2 linked regions of the Saccharomyces cerevisiae S288C genome follow. Changing the gene in region 1 together with any one later gene gives a genetic interaction. Each region holds a gene or a part of one and is shown in the gene's direction. Other genes may lie near its edges.

Region 1 (10,521 bases):
TCTAAAAAGACATTCTAACACACTGACCTGTCAAAGAAACAGAAAGAAACTAAGTGAAGGTTCAGACGTTGATGTAGATGAGCTCATCAAGGATGCGATAAAGAATGGTACCGGCCTGTTGTAAGGCTAGAGGAAAACGTATTTGTCTCCATCAGCACACCTACACATACATATATAGATAGATATATACTTTAGCCATTGAGATAAGTAGAATAAAAAAACGTTGTAATATTCCGATACAGTTAGTGACATGTTCTCTACTTTTGCCAATTTTTTGCGCACAAAGTGGTGACGTACAAGTTCATCATTTCACGTGTGCAGCATAGTGTGGTATATTGTTTTTTTATATTTTATTTTTTATTTTTTTTTTTTTGCAGAAAACAGTGTTTGTATTATATGCTTTAGATATGCTAAAAAAAATGAAAAAAAATGGAACAAAATATGTGTTTTTTTATTTAACGTTAAAATTAAAGATTAAGTTATTTATTCGACGTCAGCATCAAAAGTTTGACCTTCAACTAACTCTGGAATAGCTTCATCCTTCTTTTCAGCATCAGCTGGAGCCTTGGCTTCGTGCTTTTCCATTTGGGCAGCCAATTGAGACAAGGCTTGGATGGCTTCAGGGCCCAATTGAGAGATAATACCTGGGAACAAATCTTGCAAGTTCTTTTCCTGTGGTAGACCGTAGAATACAGAAGTGTTGTGTTGAGCAGCAACTTGGACACCGACCTTGTTGAAGTGCATGACCTTACCGTCGTCCTTGAAAAAGTTGGCTTCGGCGACGTTGTCAATGGTGACAGCGTGCAACTTAGCTAATTGACTTTGCAACTTGGTGTCATCCTTGTTGGCACCGGCAGAAGAGCCTGCCTTCTTGTTAAGCTTTCTTCTAGTACCACCAACTTTGTTGTTAGCAGACAACTTTTGTAGCTTAGCTAATTTTTCTTGGTCAATTGGCATTATGAATTATGAGTCGCGTCTGGTGTGAGATGTTCTATTCTTAAACCTCCCTAGAAAGAATATTCGCTCTCTTGTGACAAAGGAGGGGTTACTACTTAACAAGCAATTGCAGCTGTTTCCACTACGAAATCTTCCAATGTCAACGAAAAAAATTCAAAAATTTTCTGCTTTTTTTTTCAACATCTGCCGTACTAAATGATTCCACAATAATCCATCATATACCATTACCCTGATTCCCATCGAAGAAAAGGCGGTGTCCCCTTACCCGTCCGCTCATGCCAAGAGATTAATTCATAACCGCTCTTCCTTGGATCAGAAGTGAACATATGAAGTTGCAACTACTACATACTTACTACCGTAGTCCATCATCAAGGACCCAAACATTCACGACTCCAGCGCGCCACGTTCTTCGCCATACTGCTTAACATTTTGGTACGAGTGCGAATTAGGGAAGTCGATGATAAAATAGAATATGCGAAAAAGAGGAAGAGCAGCCGTGAGAAAAAAGAAAAAAAAAGGCCTAAGGTATTCTCTACTCCAAAATCGTCGAGGGAGGGCAAAAGAAATTTTTTTTGTTTAAGGGAATTGCGAAGTCAATTGATTGATGAAGTAGCTTCTCTGGAAAAATGGCGGACAGACGCTGCTCAAATAACCGTCGAAGGGGGAAAGGTTATCGGTGGAAACATATTTGTAAGTACATAATAGTGAATTTACTTCTTGTCGGCGTCCCCTAAACGTAATTGGCGGTGTGATGGTACTTCGTTATATAAAGGTGTGTAATATCCTCTTTTACCATCTATTATTTCTTCCAGCATTTCTTGCTGGATAACCTACTGTATCCAAGCTACTGGGCTTTTTTAAACATACCCATAACTTTTTTTTTTTCATTTTTCGTTGCTGTGTGCTAGTACAATTTAAGCAAAAGGAAACTGTTTTGCGTTATGTCTTCCACTGAAGCAAAGCAATACAAGGAGAAACCCTCGAAAGAGTACCTCCATGCCAGTGATGGCGATGACCCTGCAAATAATTCTGCCGCTTCTTCGTCATCTTCGTCTTCTACATCAACTTCCGCCTCGTCATCGGCTGCAGCCGTTCCACGGAAGGCCGCAGCCGCTTCTGCCGCTGATGATTCTGACTCAGATGAAGATATAGACCAATTGATTGATGAACTACAATCTAACTACGGTGAGGGTGATGAATCTGGTGAAGAAGAAGTACGTACTGATGGGGTGCACGCTGGCCAAAGGGTTGTTCCTGAAAAGGACCTTTCTACGGACCCTGCGTATGGTTTGACTTCGGATGAAGTCGCCAGGAGAAGAAAGAAATATGGGTTAAATCAAATGGCTGAGGAGAATGAATCGTTGATTGTGAAGTTTTTGATGTTCTTCGTAGGGCCTATTCAATTCGTTATGGAGGCTGCTGCTATTTTGGCTGCCGGTTTGTCTGATTGGGTTGATGTCGGTGTCATCTGTGCTTTACTGCTATTAAACGCATCTGTCGGATTTATTCAAGAATTCCAGGCAGGTTCCATCGTAGACGAGCTGAAAAAGACGTTGGCCAATACTGCAACAGTTATTAGAGATGGCCAATTGATCGAAATTCCGGCTAATGAGGTAGTTCCTGGTGAGATTTTGCAATTGGAAAGTGGCACAATTGCTCCCGCAGATGGTCGTATTGTCACTGAAGACTGTTTTTTGCAGATCGATCAATCGGCCATCACTGGTGAATCCTTAGCCGCTGAAAAGCATTACGGTGATGAGGTGTTCTCCTCATCCACTGTGAAAACCGGCGAGGCTTTTATGGTTGTTACTGCCACTGGTGACAATACCTTCGTCGGTAGGGCTGCCGCCTTAGTGGGGCAGGCTTCCGGTGTAGAGGGCCATTTCACTGAAGTATTGAATGGAATTGGTATTATCTTACTTGTTCTAGTTATCGCTACTTTGTTGTTGGTCTGGACCGCATGTTTCTATAGAACGGTCGGTATTGTAAGCATTTTGAGATATACTTTGGGTATAACCATCATTGGTGTCCCAGTCGGTTTGCCAGCAGTTGTTACCACGACCATGGCTGTCGGTGCAGCTTACTTGGCTAAGAAGCAAGCCATTGTTCAAAAGTTATCTGCTATTGAATCCCTTGCTGGTGTTGAGATTTTATGTTCTGACAAGACTGGTACTTTAACCAAAAACAAGTTATCTTTACACGAACCCTACACTGTCGAAGGCGTTTCTCCGGACGACTTGATGTTGACCGCTTGTTTAGCTGCCTCTAGAAAGAAGAAAGGTTTGGATGCTATTGATAAGGCTTTTTTGAAGTCATTGATTGAGTATCCAAAAGCTAAAGACGCCCTGACCAAGTACAAAGTTTTGGAATTCCATCCGTTCGACCCTGTCTCAAAAAAGGTTACCGCTGTTGTAGAATCCCCAGAAGGTGAAAGAATTGTTTGTGTCAAGGGAGCCCCATTGTTTGTCTTGAAGACTGTTGAAGAAGATCACCCAATTCCGGAAGATGTGCATGAAAACTACGAAAATAAGGTTGCTGAACTAGCTTCTAGAGGTTTCCGTGCTTTAGGTGTTGCTAGAAAGAGAGGGGAAGGTCACTGGGAAATCTTGGGTGTTATGCCATGTATGGACCCCCCTAGAGATGACACCGCTCAAACAATCAATGAGGCCAGAAACCTTGGTTTGAGAATCAAGATGTTAACCGGTGACGCTGTTGGTATCGCGAAAGAAACGTGTAGGCAATTAGGACTTGGTACAAACATTTATAACGCAGAAAGGTTAGGTCTGGGAGGTGGAGGTGATATGCCTGGTTCAGAGTTGGCTGATTTTGTTGAAAATGCCGATGGTTTCGCAGAAGTTTTCCCACAGCATAAATACAGAGTCGTTGAAATCTTGCAAAACAGAGGTTACTTGGTTGCTATGACTGGTGATGGTGTTAACGATGCCCCATCTTTGAAGAAGGCTGATACTGGTATTGCTGTCGAAGGTGCTACCGATGCTGCCAGATCAGCCGCTGATATTGTTTTCTTGGCCCCTGGTCTCTCTGCTATTATTGATGCCTTAAAGACTTCTAGACAGATTTTCCACAGAATGTACTCCTATGTTGTTTATCGTATTGCCCTATCCTTACATTTGGAGATTTTCCTGGGTTTATGGATTGCTATTTTAAACAACTCTTTGGATATCAATTTGATCGTTTTTATTGCTATTTTCGCAGACGTTGCCACTTTAACTATTGCTTATGACAATGCTCCTTATGCTCCTGAACCTGTGAAATGGAACCTACCAAGATTATGGGGTATGTCTATTATTTTGGGCATAGTTTTAGCTATAGGTTCTTGGATTACTTTAACCACCATGTTCTTGCCTAATGGTGGTATTATCCAAAATTTTGGTGCCATGAATGGTGTCATGTTCCTGCAGATTTCACTAACTGAAAATTGGTTAATTTTTGTCACTAGAGCTGCTGGCCCATTCTGGTCTTCCATTCCATCGTGGCAGTTAGCCGGTGCCGTTTTCGCCGTTGATATTATTGCTACCATGTTTACCTTATTTGGCTGGTGGTCTGAAAACTGGACTGATATTGTGTCAGTCGTTCGTGTCTGGATTTGGTCCATTGGTATTTTTTGTGTATTGGGAGGATTTTACTATATTATGTCCACGTCTCAAGCCTTTGATAGGTTGATGAATGGTAAGTCATTAAAGGAAAAGAAGTCTACAAGAAGTGTCGAAGATTTCATGGCTGCTATGCAAAGAGTTTCTACTCAACACGAAAAAAGCAGTTAGTAATTTTAAACATCATCCATCTGATTTTTTTTCTTATTGATCTCCTTTTTGTTATTCCTCATTTTCATTTCAATTTGTCGATACCAAGGAAGCCAAGACGTTATAAAAGAACACGGTCAACAAAAATCAAATTAATGCCTCTTCAATTGTGCTCTGTTTGATACCTTCGATATGATGTTACAGTTTTAAAGTTTACACACAAGTTTTTAGACTAAGTGGCATCATATCTGTCAATTTTATCACACACACACACACACACACACACAAACAAACATATCCACATATCAGAAGTAGGCCGATCTTTTGCTTGATTGGATGCAAATTCATATGGAAAATTTTTTTCATATTATTTCGTGTTCTTTTGACTATTTTCCTCTCCAAAAAGGAAGAATCATTCCAATAACAACACACGAATTCCCATCCAACATGGTGAAATGACTAAATATTTTTTTTTTCGAAACATTAAATCAATCTAATTCTTAATTTTTAATAAACATATAATGCACACTTATTTACATACAAGCACATTGCACGTATTATATCAGTTTCTTCTTTTATGTTGATATATTTTTCTAATAATGTTATTATCATGTAGTCGTGTATGTGCGCCTCTCCCGCGAGAAGTCCAACACCATAAGAAATCAAATGTCAAGAGAAATAAAGAATTGTTTCCCATCATAGATAAGACTATATCAGAAAAGTGCTCATCAAAGCTAAATCTATTATGAGATGTCTTAGGCATAACAAAAAAGGGAGAGCGGTGCAAGATAAACATACCGTCGGATAAAAAGTACTGTCATTATCATCAGTGGCAAGATGCAAGGTACACACGGGCACCAAGAGATAATGCGCAAAATAAACCGGGTTTTATTTACATCTATACATACAGTAACCTCTTTGAATCATACATATCTGAAAAGACGGTAGATTTAAAATGGCTATTTATTGATGAGTCAATAGTTCGGACTAATGGTAAAAAGAAGAGACAATGGGTAGACAGAGACTTTATTCTATGTAAGATAGGAATGACCACTCGAAAAACAGTAGATTCAAGACTTTTAGAATGGCAAACCACATGCAAGCATCCAGTGATAAACTTGACTCCAGAGAAAGTCGATAAATTATACCACTTGAAATTGAAAAGTGAAAGCAAAAATATCAGTTCAAACAGGCTATTGCCCATTTCATTATCAAGCTTACAAAAAAAAATGGAGAAACTTTTCATCAAAGATAAAAGTCACTCACACAAGCCTTCCCTTCCAGATCCTAAGGTGCCAACCCTACGCACTTATAAAGATGGTGGATTTTTCATTAGCGGAAAAGGTTCAATGAAACTACCAGATATCGAAAGCGCTATTCATAAATTTTTATGGAAGAAATACGGGAAAGGATTGGTTTACTGTTATGGGTGTGATCCAACTGGAAAAAAGAGGCATACAGAGTGGTTCAATGTGCCTGTATTGGAGCTACCATCAGTACTAAGACTTATTGATTCTTATTGCCTTGGAGGAGAATCTCGTTAGACTTAAAAAAAATTTTTTGGCCTATTCTGGCCGGTTTATTCAAATTATTTATCATCATAAAAATTGTAGTGTTACCTTTCTTTTCCTTGAATTATTTATAGAAATATATGTGCTTAGCAATTTTATCACTGTTACTTCGATTTGTAGTACCCTTAAGTAAAAGAGCTTTTGAAACCAGTTATCAAAAGAATATCACCAATTGATCTTTTGCTTTCGAGAATTGTATCACCATATCTTCCCTCAAGTAGACAGTGGACGAGATGTTTCGAGATACTCGGGGAAAGTCTCTTCCAATGTGCTTCACTTTCAAAACTGGGTAAATATGCAATCAGCGTTTTTACATTCAAATTACTATCTTTCAATTTAAGCTCTGAGGTTATTCCATCGTGGAAAGAGTTTATACCACATTTCGATGTAATAAAATGTGTTCCTGATTTGCACGGTTTTAACGTCAATACCGATGATATGTTGACAATATAGAACCCCTTTGCTTTTTCTTGAGCTTCAGCTTGAACCTTTGGAAAAATGTTACTCAAGCAGAACTTAGTTATCAATATTACACTTTGTAAATTATACCTCACGATTTTCTCGAATTCATTTAAAGACTCTTCATCAAGTCTCAAAAATTTGTCTTCTTTGAGAAGAGTCGATTCGATTCCCTCCTGCATGTTGTTAATGAGCACTGTAGGAATTATTTCTAAATTTTGAAGGTAAAGCATGGATTCCTCAAGACATTTTATGTCACTGAAATCTTTGCAAGAAATAAAAGTATACAGTTTTTCACTTCTCCTTGCGTTTTTTCCATTAATACTGTCTATAGTGTCAATATTTATAACCTTTGTATGATAATCTTCTATAAATGTCTCGCAGAGCTCGATGCCTAACTCATTTGAAGAACCGCCAATAATTAATACTGTATCGTGGCTAGGATGGAACTTTTTACCTAAACCGACATATTGATAAAAACTTACGAGGACTTTGTAAATTGTTTTCTTCATGTCAGATTTTTGGGCTCTATTACTAGTGGACCTGTGCTTCGGACATACGCAGTTTTTCTGTGGTTTCTTTATACGTCACAAATCTGTATTATTATTGAGTCACTAATTCAAATGCGTGTGACAATATAGCGACGGGGCCGTGCAAAAATAAGAGATACTGCACTTGCGCGGCTGATAGAGATTTCTTTCTTTCTACGCTGGGATAGTTTTCTTAGAAGGTTTTAGCTATTCTAATTAAAATGTTGTTCCCACCAGTATTTATTGGCACCTTGGACAATTTTAAAAATCACTGCTAAAACGGTGCTATGACACGATTTTCTGGTACTAAAACGTGTTTTATGAAATTAACAGTATATACAAAAAGTAAAAGGTATGGATAGTTAAATATGTGTAAAGCTATAATACAAAGAAATAACACAAGATAGTTGAGTTTATTTGGTCAAACTAAAAAGAGGAAATAATTATAGTGAATAATTCCAGATTTTGTTAAACACCAATTCAAACAAACTGAAAACAGGGAGAAACCAACCCAAAAAATAAAATAGATTCAGTGATAACCCAATTCTACCGCAAAAAAAAACTAAAAAAATAAATAATAGAAAATTAACAGATACAAAAACGAAAAAACAAACTGTTTACAAAACATTTACATGCGTGTTCATTAAGCTGTCGAAGGATATTATTTCTTTGATTTATTTTTTTTTTTGAATAGGCCAAATCTCTTCTTCTTACCACCATTTTTCTCCTCATTGTCACCATTATCGGTACTAGGCGAAGCCATATTCGCCATTTGACTTGATGAGGACAAGGTTGGAGTGCTTGGGGCTGAAACAGAGGTTGTAGGAGGGGGTGCAATATTTTTGGGATCGTTTATATCCACAGTGCTACTTGTATTGTTGTTTGTATTTGTAAATTGCATTGCGTTATGAACTACCGAGTTGGTGGAAATATCAGGGTTGCTACTACTGTTATTAACTTTGTTGTTATTATTTGTAACTTCTATCATGGTACTGGAGCTAAATTGCCTTTGTGTGGGAACGTGATTGTTTAAACTAGGAGCAGGGACTTGGTTAAAAGTATTGTTTGGGTTGGTGGCATGTGGCATATTCAGTTTGTTTTTCGATTGTTGTGATCTCAATCTATTCTGGTTTACGATGCTATGCGTTGGCATGGAATTTAAGCGAGTTTGACTTGAATTGTTCGGTGGTCTGCCAAAATCACTCATATTTATACTGGAAGGATTACCAATATTAGGCATATTACTATTTCTATTCTTCCTACTTGTGGGCTTGATAGAGTGTGAGTGAAAAGGTTGTACTTGTACCGATTGTTGTGGCTGCTGTAGGGGTAAGGAAGGAGGTTGTTGCGGGTCATATGCAGCGATACTTGAAGAAATTGGGTCTACAAAATTTCCGGCGGATGCAGGTTGAGACATAGCGCCATTGGTGCCATGCATTCCTCTGCTGTTAGAACGAACGTTTGCAGACTGCTGTAATTGAGGGAAGGAAGGCTTTCTTGGAATTGAATTATTGCTATTATTAAATCTTTGTTGCTGTAATGCTCTTTTCTGGAACTCCAGTTCACGTTCTTGTAGCTCTAATTCCTTTTTACGGAGTTGCAATTCGCGTTCTTGTAGTAATTTGTCATTCGTGCCATTATTCTCTCCGAAAGTTTGTGAATGTGAGGATAATGGTGAGTTCATTTGTGGCTGAGAGCTTACAACAGGTGGTGGAGATCTCACTGGAGAGTCTCCGTAGTTTACACTATATAGTGCCATATCTTCGATGTCCCTCAAATTCGGAGTTCCTGTTGCTTTATATTCATTTGTATCGGATTGGTTTGTTGCTTCAGTTGGCGTTAGTGCTTCAATTGATGTTTGAGCTTGAGATTGGGCTTGAGCTTGGGCTTGGGCCTGGGCTTTTAGAGCGACTTGATGTTTCTCCTTTAACTCATTAGTTTCCATTTCATGTTGCTTGGCCTGCATAAGCAACTCTTGTCTTAGTTTACTAATTTGACCTTGTAAGGAGGTAATTTGAGTCTGTAAAGCAGATTCATTTTTTTGTGATTTTTGCAAGCTTTGTAAGATTTGAGTTTTTTCATCTGACCTAATAAACCATTTAGATTTGCCACTATTCAATCTTTCAAATTGGGACAAAACAGAGTATAAAAATTCTAAGTACGGAGTTTTGATACCAAAGTCATCGGCTAATAAAATAGTTTGTAACAACAGGATATCGATGTTCAAAGGCGTTGTTTGATGAATGAAATGATAAACCAATGCAGGTGGCTTATTGGTTGAATGATAAGAATTCTTCCATAGAGATAAAAGAGAGTTTTCATTATCATGACTACTGTTTAGTCTGGCTCCCATTGTTTTTGCTACAGTGATGATTTCAGTTACCAGACCTGATATTAAAGGTTTGGCAATGATCTGCTGGTCTAGATCACTTGGGTTTTCTTGTTCAAACATGATTAACAACGGATCAAAACAAATTCTGGAAATCGCCAGCTTCCATTGTTGTGATAGAAACTCAATTGATGAGAAATTGCACAAATTGATTTTTATGTTGGAAAACAATTTAGCAAACAGTTTTTCAAAAGTGGTTAATAATGTTATAACGCCTGATGAATATTTCTCAGTGCTGGACTTACTTTCGCCGAGGTAAATCGTGTTCTCCTTTGCAGTACTAGGAAAGTGTTTGAAATGGTTTGGACCGATTTGACGAATATCCAAATCAGTCAAAATACTGAAAACGTTTACATGCGGAGATTCCATCGATAATTTGACAAACGGTTCCAATTGGATGAAACCACTGCTTTCTAAGAAAATTTTGGTGTTCGAATCGATTATGGACGTTAACTTGGACGCTAACGAGGATAATTCCTGTAAAGATGGAGCACTCATGATGATTATGTCGAAGACGGCTTCACTTGATTTGGAGCTCAAAGCTTCAGTCAAGTGCTCGATAGAGGTGAAATGATTTTCCAATTCGAACCGGTCTTTGCCGTAGTATTCAGTTTCAATTTCAAATTGACATGATTTTGAATCGTTGACGTGGTAGAGGTCTATATTCTTGGCCAGTTGAAACCTTGAGGTGTAGAACAAGATATTCGGGTTGTTCCCAATAGCTAAAACTCGAAGTGAGGAAGACGACATAACTATAACGTGTGTGAGGGCGAGCAAAGCAATTAAACGAAATTGATCTTATTGGTGAGCGTCAGACTGCTGGAGTTGTGTGTTATAAAATGAAAGAAAAA
Region 2 (8,854 bases), on another chromosome or scaffold:
AAAACTTGCAATATTTTCAAACCAATGCTATTCCAGTTCGTTTGAGTATAATATTCGTAACAGGAAAGGAAAAGCGAGACTGCCTCCTCATATTTCTTTCCCTGATAGTAAAGCAAACCTATCTCAATGGATAAAATATCTACTATCCTTTGACGCTTCCCTTCACATTTGTTGAAGAGAGAAAGAATTTCTTTGGTGAGAGTAAGGAAGTTTTCTTGGAAGACAGTTTCATCGACAAAAGTTTCTTTTAATAGATCAAATTTGTATTTAACGTCACTATTAGGGTAGTTTTTGTCCATTAGTCTATAACCACTTGTAGCCATAACACCTTGCACCCAGTTGTCGCGCTTCAACATTAATAACTCAGCTTTGATTTCACACAAGAGAGGATTTGAGACATTCTCAAATTCAAAATATGACAGCATCGAAGTTATAAAATAGTGCTTAAATTCCAATAATCTCACAGACTTTCTATACTCTATTGATATGGATTCAATAAAATTCTTGATTAGTTGAAATGCTCCTACAAAGGCGGTCAACGTCTGGTCCTCTAGTTTTAGAAGTCTTAACCTTCTAATGAAAAAATACTTATGCAATTGAAACTTATCGAGTGTACCTTCTATTATTATGGAGCCCAGTGATTCATCTGATTTAGAAGATGATTCAAAAGGTACCTGAAGTTTTCCATCCGGCATATTCATGTTTCTACGGAGTATTTCTTTTTTGATTTTTTGCAATTCCAGGCTGGCATCTTCCAAAATATTGAATACCACATATAACTCGTACAATTTTTCTCTTGTCAAAAGCTGTTCCTCAAAGTTATTTCCTTTTTGTAAATTGGCCAACGAATGTTGCAAATGTGTCAATCGTTTTTGAAAGATGCTCAGTACGGAAGCCTTAATCTTTTGGCTAAATTGGTTCCAAAACTCCTGCCTTTCTTTGGGAGATCTATAAACCGATCGAACTTCCAAAGTTTGTACATGCGGAAAGTCTTTGCCAAATTTCTCCATTAGGGATACCGATTTGAATAGGTTAGAGTCCACTACTTCAGAATTGGCATACAGTAAAATAATTGGTTTATAAATCATTTTTTCTCCTGTCGATGAAGATACAGATTCCAGATTTGGTAGCCACTGTCTCACAAGAGGCCGTACTTTGGCCCTGTATTGGTCGATAGAGATACAGTTCACTATCAAAAATCTGATAAACGGCTGTTCATCATTAGACTTGTCTGCCTCCCCTCTACCTTCTGGAATCAATTCAATTGGAAGCCTGTTAACCGTTCGTACAGTTCCGTCAAATGCCTTCCAATGTATATTGTCTAACGGTAAAATCTGCTGAAACTCTGGCCTCAGACTCTCAAATAAATCAAACGGGTCAAAATAGCTGACAGGAACCGATCCACAATATATTTCTTTATCCATCTACTATATTAGCATGTAAAAGCAAGTTCACTGGCTATTTTTATTGCTTTTATGCTCACTTTCTTTCAAAACTTCTAACTTGCACTTTTCACCATTTTCATGTTCCGCGAGCTGTTCTTAAGAAGTGAAAACAAAGGAATTTAAAATGCGAGAAAGTCTTTAGTCCTATTGACAAGTATATTGAACACGTTGTAAATTCACCAAGGGGTTAAGTACAAGAACCAATAAATCTATACTGTGAAAATATGTCAAAAAAAAAAGAAACCTTTACTCCAAGGGCAAATAAACTTAAACTGACGACCCCAAGAAGAAAACTGAAAATACTGTCATCTCTCCTTGACGCGGACGAGGATTCCAAAATGAAAGATCAACATGGGTACTCAAGGGTCCACAATGATAAATACAGAGTAGCAAAGCCTACTCAGCACTCGACTTTACATGAATCTATTTCCTCCAGGCGAAGCAGTCATATTCATAATAAATCCCTTCATGAAGATAGTGCGAGGGCATTAAGCTGGGTAGATTCTCTAATTAATAGGGGGAAAAGTATACTTACTACACTAGAAAAGGAAGATGCCTTGTTTGAGCGTAGTCTTGAGGAGGAAAGACAACGTTTTCAGCTTCATGACTCTTTAATGAACAAGTACACAGGAAACAGTAAATCTCATCAGCGACTAATCGATCTCAGGAAGAGCCAATACGGAACGGATACTTCTTTCCAAAATAATGATGAAATTCCCTTAGATAGTTTCATAAGTTCTCCCTTACCGGACGCTGAGGACGAGTCGTCCTCAAATATCGACTCCGATAAGGATGAAGATCTGGAAGGTAAACAATCTTTAATCAAAGATTTCGATCTTGAAAATGATGAATACGAGCTCTCTGAAGAAGAAAAGAATAGTGACGGCCAAAGTAGTCCTTCAATAATGATATTATCAGATGAAGAATATGCAGAGGAAGGAGCACTACAAGATGTATCGAATGATGAATATGCCGAAGAGGAGGGGCAAGTTGAGAGAAAGAATATAGGGCAAGAACAGGCAAATGTAGAGAATGCTACACAAATTAGTTCTTCTGATTCCAGTGAAGGACAGAATTATTCAGAGGGAGTAGAAATGGAATTAGAAGACGACATTGATGTGGAAAGCGATGCTGAAAAAGATGAAAGTCAGGGTGCAGAAGGAACAGAACATTCGGTAGATTTTTCAAAATACATGCAGCCTAGAACAGATAATACTAAGATCCCCGTTATCGAAAAATATGAATCTGATGAGCACAAAGTCCATCAAAGATATTCAGAAGACGGTGCATTTGATTTCGGTTCAGTAAATATTTCAGTTGACGATGAGTCCGAGGATGAAGAAAGTCAAGCTGAAAGTTACTCAGCAAATGCTGAAAATGTGTACCACCATAATGAACATGAACTGGATGATAAGGAACTAATAGAAGATATAGAATCTTCAGATAGTGAATCCCAAAGTGCACAAGAAAGCGAACAAGGAAGTGAAGATGATTTTGAATATAAAATGAAAAACGAAAAAAGCACGTCAGAAGAAACTGAGAATACCAGCGAAAGCAGAGACCAAGGTTTCGCTAAAGATGCTTATACTAAGAACAAAGTGGAACAACAGGAAAATGACGAAGAACCTGAAAAAGATGACATTATCAGAAGCTCTCTAGACAAAAATTTTCACGGAAACAACAACAAAAGTGAATACTCGGAAAATGTTTTGGAGAATGAAACTGATCCTGCTATAGTAGAAAGAGAAAATCAAATTAACGATGTTGAAGGTTATGACGTAACAGGAAAAAGTGTCGAAAGTGATTTGCACGAGCATTCCCCTGATAATTTGTATGATCTCGCCGCAAGGGCTATGCTTCAATTCCAACAAAGTAGAAATTCGAACTGCCCTCAAAAAGAGGAGCAGGTATCCGAATCTTATTTAGGGCACTCAAATGGAAGCAACTTATCGGGCAGGTCTTTAGACGAATCCGAAGAGCAAATACCCCTAAAGGACTTCACAGGTGAAAACAATAATAATTTAAAAACAGACCGAGGTGATCTTTCATCTTCTGTTGAAATAGAGGTTGAAAAAGTTTCTGAAAAGAAACTGGACGGTTCTACAGAAAAAGAACTGGTACCACTATCCACAGATACTACGATTAACAATTCATCATTAGGAAATGAAGACAGTATCTATTATTCACTCGATGACGCTGATGCTATATCAGAGAATCTTACCGATGTTCCTCTTATGGAAATCAAAACAACTCCGAAATATGAAGTAGTAATTTCTGAATCTGTGTATAGTTCTACTTCTTACGAAGATAACACAGTTGCCATGCCACCGCAAGTGGAGTACACTTCACCATTTATGAATGACCCATTCAATTCGTTGAACGATGATTACGAAAAGAAGCATGACCTACTGAAATCAACGTTAGCAGCCCTTGCCCCAGCTTTCACCAAAAAGGATGCAGAATTTGTGGAAGCTGGAGTGACGAAATCATGCTTGACATCTACATCTGGGCACACAAACATTTTTCACACAAGTAAGGAAACTAAACAGGTGAGCGATTTGGATGAATCTACGGAAAACGTTACTTTTGAAAATGAAAATACAGGTGATGAAAATAAAAATCAAAGTAAAAATTTTCCAGGCGTGGCTAACAGTACTGACAAGTCAACTGAAGATAACACGGATGAAAAGTACTTTTCAGCGATTAATTATACCAACGTTACAGGAGACTCTTCCTGCGAGGACATAATTGAAACGGCTTCAAATGTAGAAGAAAATTTAAGATACTGTGAAAAGGATATGAACGAAGCTGAGATGTCTTCTGGCGATGAATGCGTAAAACAGAATGATGATGGTAGTAAAACTCAAATTTCGTTTTCAACAGATTCGCCAGACAATTTTCAAGAAAGCAACGACAACACTGAATTCTCTTCTACTAAATATAAAGTAAGAAATAGTGATCTTGAAGACGACGAATCACTCAAGAAGGAACTTACAAAAGCTGAAGTAGTTGATAAGCTTGATGAAGAGGAAAGTGAGGATTCATATGAACAAGATTATGCGGATCCAGAACCAGGCAATGATGAAGGCAGTAATGAAAATATAGTTAAAGGTACAAAAAAGGATACTCTCGGAATAGTAGAACCAGAAAATGAAAAAGTTAATAAGGTGCACGAAGAAGAAACACTTTTCGAAGCCAATGTCAGTTCATCCGTAAATGTTCAGAACAAAGACATGCACACCGACGTCATCAATCAAGAGGCGCAAGCGAATTACGAAGCTGGTGAAAGAAAATACTATATCCAGAATACAGATACGGAGGAAGCACACATTTCCATTATCGAAAGAATAGATGAGAATGCGATTGGAAATAATATGGAGATCCCAGAAAGGTCGTGCGTGGAAAAAACGCACAACGAAGTGCTCTTTGAAAGAAGAGCAACTACCATTGAAAACACAAAAGCCCTGGAAAATAATACCAATATGCATGATCAGGTTAGCCAAGCTTGCTCTGATTCAGACCGAGACCAAGACTCCACAGCTGAAAAAAATGTTGAGGGATCTGCAAAACATAATTTGGACATTCGGGTGTCCAGTTCGGAAATTGAGTCTGTGGAACCATTGAAGCCAGAATCTGATCGATCAAATATTTTTTCATCCCCAATTCGTGTTATTGGAGCTGTAGTTAAGGGAGTGGGTAAGGTAGTCGACGTAGCTGAATCATTCGTGAAAAAAATTGATGTTATGGATTCTGAGAGTGATGATAACGTTGATATTGGTGATTATAATCAAGACATTTTTAACAAGTCGAATTCTACCGATGCATCTGTTAATATGAAAAGTGTAAGTAGCAAAGAGAGAGACAGCGATGAAGATGAAGCTGTCATACTCGGAGGAGTTACCGCAGAAGCACATAATGACAATGGTAATAATTCTCGTGTGATAAACATCGATCCCACGACAAACGGTGCTTATGAAGAGGACTCCGAAGTGTTTCGACAGCAAGTAAAGGACAAGGAAAATTTGCATAAGTCGGAAGAGCCGCTAGTTGAAGGTTTACAATCCGAGCAACATTTCGAAAAGAAAGACCACAGCGAGAATGAAGAAGAATTTGATACCATATATGGAGATATAACATCAGCAAATATTCACAGTAATGCCCCCGATGATATTAAGAGACAACAACTCCTAAAGAATCTAAGTGACCTAGAGAATTATTCTCAGAGGCTCATTGAAGATTCCAGGAGAGGAAAAAATCAAGAAGAATCAGACGAAGTTAATACAAGCCGTGAACGGGATCTCACGTTTGAAAAGTCCGTTAATGAGAAATATGCTGGAGCAATTGAAGAAGACACTTTTTCGGAGTTAGATATTAGCATTCAACACCCCGAACATGAAGAAGACCTGGACCTATCAAACAATCAGGAGAGGTCAATAGAAGAACTAAATTCAGAGCCAGAAGAAGCTGAGTTGTACGAATTGGAAATAGAGGGCCCTACAGAGACAGCAGCTTCTAGTAAAATGAATGATGATGAAAGGCAACGCGGAAATATACCGTCCACAGATCTTCCATCTGATCCTCCGTCTGATAAGGAAGAAGTGACAGATTCTTATCCCTATTCAAATTCGGAAAATATTACCGCTGAAAAGAGTGCGCCAACATCACCGGAAGTGTATGAAATATTCTCAGACACGCCAAATGAAGTCCCTATGGAAATTAATGATGAAATTCCCGCCACCACGCTTGAGAAACACGATAAAACCAATGTAACATCCGTTTTGGATGATAGATCAGAACATTTATCTAGCCACGATGTTGATAATGAGCCACACGATAATTCCATTAACATCAAAGTAAATGAAGGTGAGGAGCCCGAACATCAAGCAGTGGATATACCTGTTAAAGTAGAAGTTAAAGAAGAACAGGAGGAAATGCCTTCAAAATCTGTACTTGAAGAACAGAAACCAAGTATGGAACTAATCAATGATAAAAGTTCTCCAGAAAATAATAATGATGAGGAAACAAACCGCGAAAAGGACAAAACTAAAGCAAAAAAGAAAAGCCGTAAAAGAAACTACAACAGCAGAAGACGGAAAAGAAAAATCACAGAAGGCAGTTCTGCCGCATCAAATACTAAAAGGCGTAGGGGGCACGAGCCAAAAAGCCGTGGACAGAATACGCATCCAAGTGTTGACAAATAATCAAATTGTATACAGGAATATGTAGATAGTAATAATTATTGCGATGCGTTTTTCTATACGAGATCTAAAAGGAAAAAAGTTCGGTTTTAAGGCGGAGTTAACGTCATGTCGAATGGAAAGAAAGATTATATAAAGAATGGAAAAACAAAAAAGGTGAAAAAACATCTTGGAAGGCCTCATAATAAATCAATCGGCTGCCTCGAGAAATGTCAGAGTTGAGAGCCTTCAGTGCCCCAGGGAAAGCGTTACTAGCTGGTGGATATTTAGTTTTAGATACAAAATATGAAGCATTTGTAGTCGGATTATCGGCAAGAATGCATGCTGTAGCCCATCCTTACGGTTCATTGCAAGGGTCTGATAAGTTTGAAGTGCGTGTGAAAAGTAAACAATTTAAAGATGGGGAGTGGCTGTACCATATAAGTCCTAAAAGTGGCTTCATTCCTGTTTCGATAGGCGGATCTAAGAACCCTTTCATTGAAAAAGTTATCGCTAACGTATTTAGCTACTTTAAACCTAACATGGACGACTACTGCAATAGAAACTTGTTCGTTATTGATATTTTCTCTGATGATGCCTACCATTCTCAGGAGGATAGCGTTACCGAACATCGTGGCAACAGAAGATTGAGTTTTCATTCGCACAGAATTGAAGAAGTTCCCAAAACAGGGCTGGGCTCCTCGGCAGGTTTAGTCACAGTTTTAACTACAGCTTTGGCCTCCTTTTTTGTATCGGACCTGGAAAATAATGTAGACAAATATAGAGAAGTTATTCATAATTTAGCACAAGTTGCTCATTGTCAAGCTCAGGGTAAAATTGGAAGCGGGTTTGATGTAGCGGCGGCAGCATATGGATCTATCAGATATAGAAGATTCCCACCCGCATTAATCTCTAATTTGCCAGATATTGGAAGTGCTACTTACGGCAGTAAACTGGCGCATTTGGTTGATGAAGAAGACTGGAATATTACGATTAAAAGTAACCATTTACCTTCGGGATTAACTTTATGGATGGGCGATATTAAGAATGGTTCAGAAACAGTAAAACTGGTCCAGAAGGTAAAAAATTGGTATGATTCGCATATGCCAGAAAGCTTGAAAATATATACAGAACTCGATCATGCAAATTCTAGATTTATGGATGGACTATCTAAACTAGATCGCTTACACGAGACTCATGACGATTACAGCGATCAGATATTTGAGTCTCTTGAGAGGAATGACTGTACCTGTCAAAAGTATCCTGAAATCACAGAAGTTAGAGATGCAGTTGCCACAATTAGACGTTCCTTTAGAAAAATAACTAAAGAATCTGGTGCCGATATCGAACCTCCCGTACAAACTAGCTTATTGGATGATTGCCAGACCTTAAAAGGAGTTCTTACTTGCTTAATACCTGGTGCTGGTGGTTATGACGCCATTGCAGTGATTACTAAGCAAGATGTTGATCTTAGGGCTCAAACCGCTAATGACAAAAGATTTTCTAAGGTTCAATGGCTGGATGTAACTCAGGCTGACTGGGGTGTTAGGAAAGAAAAAGATCCGGAAACTTATCTTGATAAATAACTTAAGGTAGATAATAGTGGTCCATGTGACATCTTTATAAATGTGAAGTTTGAAGTGACAGCGCTTAACATCTAACCATTCATCTTCCGATAGTACTTGAAATTGTTCCTTTCGGCGGCATGATAAAATTCTTTTAATGGGTACAAGCTATACATACTAGGATGAGGATGGTACTGAGAACGATAAATAAACTTTCTAGATATATAACTTTATGTCATTTAAATATAAATAAAGTGCGTGTTAGCTTGAAAGTGTGCACTCAGATAGTTTGGTAGTTGGAGGACAATCCTCTTTCATTCACGGGCTTGGGCAAAATCTGAGATCGTATGTAAAATGTTAAAGTTAGTGAAAAAACGACTGTGAGGATTACCAGTGTAAGGTTTATTGGGAATGGATTCATGTTGAAAGTAGTATGTGTCCATTTGTCCAGTAAGTTTTGACTCATGTTGAAAATACCACAAATGCAGGACAATAACCCATAAACAGTACCAAATGTGTCAAATCCAAAAACTTTTGAAGAATAATCAGAAACAACTGTGTAATAAAATGGTCTGTACACTACCAGAAGTACTATACCTATTAAGTTCCAAGTGAATGAATTTGGAATCAAGCCAAAAACACCTATAGCGGTAGAAGTGGTGAACAA

The links.
Region 2: mutations in YPL034W (region 1) and ESC1 together harm fitness more than expected from each alone (negative genetic interaction), as found in Saccharomyces cerevisiae (2 studies listed by BioGRID).

Annotation. Positions count from the first base shown.
Region 1 is NC_001148.4:480,945-491,465, forward strand, and holds YPL034W (uncharacterized protein), read left to right. Parts: upstream 1-5,767; coding exon 5,768-6,265; downstream 6,266-10,521. Other genes in the region: MET31 (Met31p), read left to right, coding at 1-124; EGD1 (Egd1p), read right to left, coding at 484-957; H(+)-exporting P2-type ATPase PMA2, read left to right, coding at 1,899-4,742; SRL4 (Srl4p), read right to left, coding at 6,418-7,263; SVL3 (Svl3p), read right to left, coding at 7,943-10,420.
Region 2 is NC_001145.3:705,464-714,317, forward strand, and holds ESC1 (Esc1p), read left to right. Parts: upstream 1-1,669; coding exon 1,670-6,646; downstream 6,647-8,854. Other genes in the region: transport protein particle complex II subunit TRS130, read right to left, coding at 1-1,424; ERG8 (phosphomevalonate kinase), read left to right, coding at 6,853-8,208; FMP42 (Fmp42p), read right to left, coding at 8,468-8,854. UniProt on the Saccharomyces cerevisiae protein: Involved in the clustering of telomeres at the nuclear periphery, forming discrete subcompartments that accumulate a complex of histone-binding silencing factors like SIR4. Required for SIR4-mediated anchoring and partitioning of plasmids.